Neodiprion lecontei: one gene and its partner. The main gene of each other region encodes a partner of the protein of the gene in region 2 in a complex. Links are inferred from orthologs where the notes say so. Each region holds a gene or a part of one and is shown on either strand. Other genes may lie near its edges.

Evidence for each region.
Region 1: gem-associated protein 5-like (region 2) and gem-associated protein 2 share a complex: the UniProt entries of both Homo sapiens proteins name them as parts of the SMN-Sm complex. The link is inferred for Neodiprion lecontei from reciprocal best matches to the Homo sapiens genes GEMIN5 and GEMIN2.

Annotation. Positions count from the first base shown.
Region 1 is NC_060263.1:39,236,279-39,240,042, forward strand, and holds gem-associated protein 2, read right to left. Parts: upstream 1,984-3,764; 5' UTR 1,836-1,983; coding exon 1,729-1,835; intron 1,652-1,728; coding exon 1,567-1,651; intron 1,488-1,566; coding exon 1,329-1,487; intron 1,267-1,328; coding exon 1,000-1,266; intron 919-999; coding exon 826-918; 3' UTR 734-825; downstream 1-733. Other genes in the region: ubiquitin-like protein 4A, read left to right, coding at 1-240; probable cyclin-dependent serine/threonine-protein kinase DDB_G0292550, read right to left, coding at 2,814-3,117, 3,211-3,764. UniProt on the Homo sapiens protein: The SMN complex catalyzes the assembly of small nuclear ribonucleoproteins (snRNPs), the building blocks of the spliceosome, and thereby plays an important role in the splicing of cellular pre-mRNAs.
Region 2 is NC_060265.1:3,239,840-3,244,840, forward strand, and holds the start of gem-associated protein 5-like, read right to left. Parts: upstream 2,989-5,001; 5' UTR 2,957-2,988; coding exon 2,951-2,956; intron 2,230-2,950; coding exon of another isoform or gene 2,043-2,229; intron 1,923-2,042; coding exon of another isoform or gene 1,801-1,922; intron 1,361-1,800; coding exon of another isoform or gene 1,253-1,360; intron 293-1,252; coding exon of another isoform or gene 209-292; intron 73-208; coding exon of another isoform or gene 1-72. Other genes in the region: uncharacterized protein LOC107220650, read left to right, coding at 1-72, 209-292, 1,253-1,360, 1,801-1,922, 2,043-2,229, 2,989-3,131. UniProt on the Homo sapiens protein: The SMN complex catalyzes the assembly of small nuclear ribonucleoproteins (snRNPs), the building blocks of the spliceosome, and thereby plays an important role in the splicing of cellular pre-mRNAs.

The DNA of each region.
Region 1 (3,764 bases), on a different chromosome or scaffold from region 2:
AATTTATTTGTAAAGAAGCAAATTCAAAGTGAGGGTAAGAGTGCTCAAGGTGATACTGGCATCCAATTATTCAGAAGCGAGATGTCAAGAGTCTTGAGGCATTATTATACAGAATCTGAAACACAGTCGATAATTAATGAGTTTATGAAAGACTTAAAAAAGAAAGTAGACGGCTTGAGCTATGACGACTTGGAAAGATTAGCAACGGCTCTGCTTCAGGATCAAGAAAGTACCACTTGAAGAAATTTTCCTTGGATTTTTTTCTGCAGAATACCTTCAATCATTCGTTTGTTAATTTTTAATAAAACTCTGCATCTAGAAAATTTTTAATTGTAAGGTTTTCCGTGCTTTTTGAAAAGTGAATGATGTTTTCTTGTACTGCTCACTTTTACAAATTAATTCTTTGCACTCTTTTTTAATTAATTATTTACAACAAATTTTCTATACATTCGTCCGTTTTACGCATTAATTTCCCTCTCATTTCACAAAATGGCAAACCCACAAGTGGCTGAGACGATTGATTTGCACAATATTTAACAGCAATGTTCAACGAAATTCCATTCGTGAATAATTCATTGAGTTGACCTAAGGAATATTTTAAGCATATGTAATTTCTAATATTCAAGAGATGTAATGTAGCCTCTTCAATGATCGCTCGCTTGAATTGACATTCATCCATCATGTTTAGCTGTTAACTAAGTGCAAGATAATGATAATAATAAAACAAAACTTGTTACGTTAAAATTAATCTATATTTATTTCAATCAGTAGTTACAAATTTCATTGATCCCCAATTTCACAATTATGTCGTTCTTTAATCACAAATTACAAGTCCACCAAATCCATTTGTCTGAAATATCTGGCGACCAGGCAGATAAATAAATTCAAAGCTGTGACATCTTTAGCGTTCTCCTCTGTCTAAAAATAAATTACAAATATTATCCATAAAAAATTTACCTCTCGAAACATTTGCCACTCTGTTTTCAAAATGTATTTTACCATGCTAGCTCTGATTATCGAACATGTTCTAGCAAGCGAGCGTAAGCAGGAACACGTGTCTGGATTTAAAGGTAACTCGAGGGTAGCTAGTAGGGCATAAATCCAGCCTCCGTATGGTTGCGAGATCAGGCCCTTTTCTTCTACTGCTTCGACGAGATGTTCCAAGACTTGTTCGATCAGCGGCTGGTTCATGTTTAATACTAGTCCAAGCAACGGTCTCATGTTGCAGATGTACTCCAGCCAGCCAACCTGATCATCTGCGTCAGGCTGTAATTTGCACAAGGATAAGTGTATTCTGAAATCAGATGTGATCAGAAATTAAATCTTACCAGAACAGTTTGTCGAAGCCTGCGGCGACCCTCAGCATTTTGTAAATTGTGTTTAATCCGGTCGATCTCTAGTCTCACAGAAGAAAAGTCTGCTAGTTGACACTGCTGCCAGTCCAGAGTCGGAACCATCGAAGCTGGAGCCTCGACACATCCTGCTAGCTGAGCAATTGTTTATTACTCATTTCACACATCGTACAAATGATTGCTTTTGCCTGCTTGTTTTGTTTCATTGACTTACAGGCTTTACCGCCACCATGGGAGTCCTAATACGAGCTTTTATATTCTCTGCCACAACCACGTCGTCGCACTGCTGCGCCTCAATTCTAGAAATATTTTGCAATTGCAGTGAATTGTTTAGAGGGAAAATTAGCGTATTGAAAGATGGGACAGGAATACCGACACCACACGCTTGATGTATTCCTCTCCTGAGGATGGAGGTAGCATAAGGTCGAATTCCGCGTCAATTTCGCCCACAAATAAAGCAGGCTCTCTCAAAATATCCCCCATCTTTCGAGGCGAGGTATATGGTTAAAAAAAATTTCGTCGCAACGCGTGCTAAGAATTTCGCATTGTTGACATGTTTTTCCTAGGTTAAATTACGTTTGAATAACGTGAATTCCGTCATCCTTCGACGTATTATCGGTGGTCACATGCAGGAAGACCAGAAACTCGATATCATTTTGCAAGCTCTTGTTGCCATGGCAACGGGTACAATCGTAGTGGCGGCAAAATTGGACAAACGCGTGACGGAAACCCCGGGAAATTTAAAACTGTCTACCTATATAAAACGGTAATCAAAGTTTATTAGTCGTAAATGATCATGATACATTCTTTCCACCACGATGAATGATTCTTCTTATCGTCACGATTTATTCATTACTCTACGAATGTAGACATCACCGGGTGATCTGAACCTTACAACTTTTGGTGAGCATATGGATCTCTATACCTACTGTTATTTTTTTTTTTTGTTTTTCTTTTTTATTAAAATACATAAAATATGTACACTCGGTAGCCGTAGTAGCGACCTATTTACAAAAGAATGTGTGTGAAAAATTTGTTATTGTATGTTTGTCGGGACACAGTTCGATCGGCGCAGGCGTATACTAAGCTAAAAATACTGATAAAAAAACCATATTTAATAATATTCTTGAAATTCAAATTAATTTTAGGTGGATCGACATAATACATATAACATATTTATCGTACGTAGCGTACTAGACGTACATACATAACAAAAATATCTTAATTGTAAGTACAGCAGATCATTGATTGCGTATTGTATTGTATTAATCGACAGATATGATATCTGGACAAAAAATATTTATCATAAAAATCGCTCAGTTTGGCAATTGGCAATCTCAAATACATACGTATGAATCTCCATACGTACGAATAGATCGAATAAGACTGTATATCATGGATTGAAAAATCTGCGTCTAACTATTTTTTCCCGCAAGTATAATATAACCCGTATAATGAATTTCAATTTCTTGTTACTTTCGCGGTGTCTCTTGAGCCGCCAACTTGTTCCAGATCAATACCGTCGTATTCCAAAGCTCCAGCATTGTCGTAGTAAGCGTAATCGTAGTCGTTCTTCTTTTCCGACTTCGATTTTACCGTGGTAGATTCTTGACGCCGATCGACAGTCCTTGTCGTGGATGTGAACGGCCTTGGTGTCGCACTGACGAAATTTCCAGTTCTTGAATTCGGCGTCGTTTGCGACGCGTAATTGGTCGCTGCAGCCGACGACGGCCTCTGAGTTGTTGGGTTATTGTAGACAGTCCTTCTATAACAGATCATCACAAGTTAGACATTAGTGATAAACATATAAACACCTATTCCTTCAATCCAAGCACTTTCAATGAGAAAAATCACCTACCTCGGAACGGGAGTCGTCGCTCTCACGGTGACGGGACTCTCTGCGAGCTTGTTGACACTAGCGGGACTGAATCCGTTGACGGAAGCCGTTCTTCCGCCCTGGTCGAAGTTGTCGAAGCTCTTGGTGCTTCCGTCGAAATTCGTCTTAGATTCATAGTTGTTGTACTGCGTAGCAACCTTCTTCGGGGCTTTCGTAGCCACCTCGCGATTGTACTGTCCGCTGTTATCGTTGGACCTCGAGGTGTCGTAGGTCTGCTCGGTCTGCTGAGTGTTCCTTTCGCGGTACTGGCCGCTGTTCGTTGTTCTGGCGCTCTCGTACTGCCCGGTGTACTGATCGTTCCCTCGATTGATCACCTGGCTTTGGGTGTTGCCATTACCGATGGTCGCTTGTTTCTTGGTAACCGGACTGTAGGTCGTCGGGATGTAGCTGCTACCCGCAAAGCTGTTTGCGAATCTCTGAGTGGTTTGAGTAAAATCTTGCTGTCTGGTGGTCTGAACTTTGTTCGCAATCTGGGGCTCGCTGGTTCTCGGGGTGACCGAGTAGTCGTCGTAGGA
Region 2 (5,001 bases):
CATATTTCACAGATGGACTTAGCTAACTGTCAACTTAAAGATGAAAACCAAGTTTCTACGAGGACTATCGAGGTAATTAATTTAACTCCTTGATTGCACACCCATGTCGGAAATAGTTGAAAAGTAATTTATCATATTATGCTTCATGGTGGTTAGGTTTAATTTTTTTTGTTTTTATCGTTCAACAAAGTCTACACAACTGTTTCAGCAACTGAAAACTATCGTGAAAGAGTTGGAGACCCGAGTTTCCGAGCTGCAAACACACCGAGATGATATGTCCCATAGCGAACCGGTGAGTATCAATTTCTTAATGGAAGATCAGATACTTCATTGATTTTTTGCCAAAAATGTTTTTTTCATCCAAGATACAAGTTTATACCTGATAAATTTGTTTTCAATAAAGTAGGACTTGCCATATTGAGGCGCTTTTCCCAGGTACATTTTAATTTAATATATTGGTATAAAGGTACGATGATTTCTGCAAAGTTGAAAAAATAAGAAATACCGAAAATGTAAACGACATGCCTTTCATACCGATGTTTTTTCATTTCAAATCACTTCAAATCGTCTCGGATGGTTTTCAATCGTACCACGCGCACGCTGGATTAACTGAAGGTCAATGACGACTTGTTTAATTAACGTTGCGGGTGACCCGTCCGCAGTTGATTATCGCGATAGTTTTTCCGAAAATAGATTACGGCTCGCAATCAGCCGTTTACCCTGACCTGTCTGGGGACTTGCTATTAATTTGGATTAGTTTGTACGGGGTAGCTATGTAGTAACTGAAATTTTACGTTTTGTAAAAATTAAATTTTTTTAAATGACCTAAACACAGAGACGCGAAAAATAATTGACCACATTTGGTACTGTAGTTGAGCGTAGTCTACGTGATTTTTTTCAATCGTTTGAGAAAGAATTTTTTTTTCTTGAATAATTCATACATCTTGGATCTGGTAGGTCTGATAAAAAAGTGTTTAATTGAGAAATGAGTTGTTTTTCACTGAAGTTTGTAACACAATAAATCGTATATTTTTATTTCCATCGGAAAGGCTGTTTTGAATCCAAAAAATAAGATACACTCAAATTTTTCCCTTGTTATTTTTGGTCTTATAGGAACCTAGTGTTTCTCCGCTTTATACTTAAATAGGTATACGTACAAAAAATGTATTTCTTCAACATAAAGGCCCAATTGGTGATCCATACGGAGAAAAATTTTCATGTTTATTGGGGTGTTAACATCCATTCTTTTCAGTCATCCGCAAGACCAGTCTTTAAAAATGAGCTAAGCTTCGACTTGGATACGTCACACTATTCGGGAAAAATAATCCCGCGGTCTCTGTGCGATGAAATGAAAGCTTCGGTAAGTGACAGCTGTGATCTGATAATTCACTATAACTGTAATATACACGTCTATACGTACTATGCTCAATATATATATATACAGTGTTACGTGGGATTCACGTTCGGCAACTCTGCATAGAATCGTTTATTGAATAATGGCCGCTAGTGCGTCAGTCGCAGCAGCTAGCCGATTTCACCTGATTGCGAAGCATGCGTAAGCTGCTCTCTTGCATTCGAGGATCGGGCATCCAGTATATTTAATAAATGACCCTGTATACATGCATTTTAAATGTAGATAATTCATAGTCCCTGCATAAGGTCCGCAAATACACGTTTAGTGTAATTTGTCGTTATACATATTATCAATTTACAGATGTATATGCACGTAGCTATCAACAACGCCACGTAACCGCTTCCATGAACTATATAGGTAATATTACTACCTCGATCTTGTTACAGGGACTCGAAGATCCGGACATCAGTCTGACGAATAAAATCGAAACACTGGACGAAAAAATGGAAGACCAGTGCATCACCGAATACTACAGCGTTATACGCGAAGCTGTGAAACAGCTGGAAAGGTGAAAAATATACGTATTTAAAAGGAAATCAAATTGTTAGAAAACTTGACATGGTATAATCCAAGAATTGATGTTCCTTCTAATCACGAATTGAATCAGTGTTTATTTATCAATCCATAGAGTTCTGGCCAGAGTTCAAGTGGCGTGTAACAAGGTGAAAGCAAAAACGGTACCTGCTCGGAACCCTTCGTTTGTGTTTGGAGAAATAGATGCAGATGGAAACAAAGAGTGTCGTTCTAGCGTCGAGGAGCTGTTGCGAATGTTAGAATCCGAAATACGTCGTACGCTGTCAATATTTTCTATTGTGGTTAGTACGGTTTTGTTTGAGGCATGCAGATAACCTCAGTAGATTTCTAGTAGTATACGGGTTATCGGCGTGCGAACTCGGCTTCGGTGGGGAGGGCGGACAAAGTAGATGGGGGCATATAGGTAGGAATTCACGGTATAAAAAACAAGGTGACGCCACGGCCTATCTCACTGAGTACTCTTTGAGCAACGAAACTGTGATTACTGTTCTGCCTCGGAAAAGTTCTCACAGTTTGTTAAACCGGCTTGGAATCTGGTTTATAGGTAGTTGAGCCTGCCTTGGATTGCCGAAAAATTCACGCTTGACACCTGACAAATTTTTTTGTATCAGTTCAATCGATTTCGACCTAATGCGCATATACCTTCCAAACAGTGTACCTACTCATTATCGCTATAGTCAAATCGTGAAAGAAATTTGATAAATCATTTGGGCTTAAAACCATGCGGATCTCACTATTTTTCGTCTTACAATCAGCAAAAGAATGGCCGTTGAAGGGGGGAGGGGGGGGCTTTGGGTATGCTCTCAAGTGAAATTTTCATGACAAATGGGCGACCTTTTCTGTGCACCGTATTTATCTCATCTGCGCAGCCAAGTTACATTGCGTCGCTCCTTATCCGTGGATACAAGTGGAAATGTATTCTCGAATCTATATACCATACGCCTATTCTTCCGTTTGAATCGTCGCAGTCTCTTGTATACATCTTTGGTAGATAGTACTCACAATCATGACGGCATTTATCCGAGGTATATTGTTTCCAGGTCTCGCACAAGGTCGTCAGTACCAACGCCAGTACGACAGATCCCGCGACTCGAGTTGATGTACTCGAACCTGACTCGACGCCAGTTTGCGATATTCTTCGAGGCATTAACACGGGCTTCATTAACCACGACCTCTCTACAAAGTGAGTCCATTACAGACGTATATATCGCACCATACGCGGCATCTGAATCTGCGATGTAGGAGTGCTATAGTATAAACTGCATACTACGTGTGATGCGAAGGTTGCAAAAAACAGTGCACTGTAATGTAGTGAATCTTGCGTTCATTTCCTACGTACATACCTGCCTGAACGATCAGTCGCGTGTAGCTCACTCCAATTGCTTCCGTTTATTTCCACCTATTCAGTCTCAACGTATGGCTCTCGTCTAACAAGTGAAACCGCGTACGAAATTGTGCCTAATAATTCCTTACCGATCCCAACTCCGAAAGTCTGGGGACGCGTCCTTAGTCCAGAAAGCTGCAAGAGATTTTCCAATCCTAAACCTGTTTATTATCTCTATCAATTATCCAGTTGAAAGTCATATTTTTACCAACTGCAGACTAATCCAGCAGCGTGTTGGCTCCTACAAGTATTGCCATCGCAGCTTGTGTGACTGTGAGGAGCCACACGCACATGTGCATACATAATGTATATACATATACCGGGTGTACAATACAGATACGTCCAGACACGTTTGTAAGAGCTTTGCAAAAAAAAAAATGCCGACACATGTTCTTACTTGCAAGAGGGAAAGGAGATGCCCTCCGTATAAAATCCCCATGGTCCCGTCGGAAATCGAGATTCATCCAGCGTTGCTGAGACGTAACCTCGGTGAACGCCTACGGCTCACCACTCGCAATCAGCTGGTCGTTAGAAGCGATATAGATCAAGGTCGAGAACTTTTTGGACCCCTGAAAGTATAACCACATGTCTCTTCTACACTTGATCATCTTACGGACATAGATTCGGCACGATGGCATTCACTTTTCACGCTCCCTGCAGCTTCGCTCGGCTAAATATACATATGTATATGCGTTCGCGGTACATGGCATGCGAGCTTTGCAGTTTACTTATGATCCTATGTATTATGTCATTGCGTATGCGGGCACGTATCATCCGACAACTATTCAGTAACTGAGAGAGGGGTTCATCAGTATTACGTGGACGTGGATCAGTGGTTTTCCTACTGTAAATTTATATAGAATCCTGTACCAATATCACCGAGTGGGGAACGTATCACGATACCGTATGAATTTGCAGTAGGCTTGGCTTTGATTGCAACGGTTTGCAGCGTATTGTACATTTGTTATATTGTAAATAATCATTACTGATCTTGATATTCACCTCGTATTTTGTACCACTAGTAAACGTAATGTAGCTGGTTTTGAGCCATTGTATACTCGCATATCTTTCTTTCCTCAATGTGGTACTCAAAAACGCTGTTCAGTTATATTTTCGTTTTTTGACTATTTCACTCATTTGGAAAATTGTTCATTTAATTTTTAAACCGAACTCAAAGTATTCCCTCATACATCGTATATCCTAAGTGGATAGATGTATACTTTTTAGTGGCGAGATTACAAGTTGATTTTTTTTTAAATCCACTTTTCCAACCGGGATATACCTGTTAACTTGAATTATAAATGATAACGATAATTTTCCAAATGAGAGGAATACTTGAAAAATGAAAATAGTATAACTGACAGTCATTTTAAGTACACAGATATGGTACGCGTGCATACTGTAGGTACACGGTTTCGGAAAGAAAAACAAAGAAAACTGTTGGAAGTATCAAAACGCACGCTGCGTTTATTATTTGTAATACGCTATTCGCGATTTCTTCATAATTTACTGCTATGTACACGACGAGTTTGCAAAAACTGGAATCGATTGATATTAGAAGTTTTGAACGACAGTTTACCTCTCGAATTGTTATGCAATTACGTTTTTGAACTTTTTAAATCTTGTGTTTTGCGAGAATCGGATTTTGTTGGTCAATTTGAAAATTTTC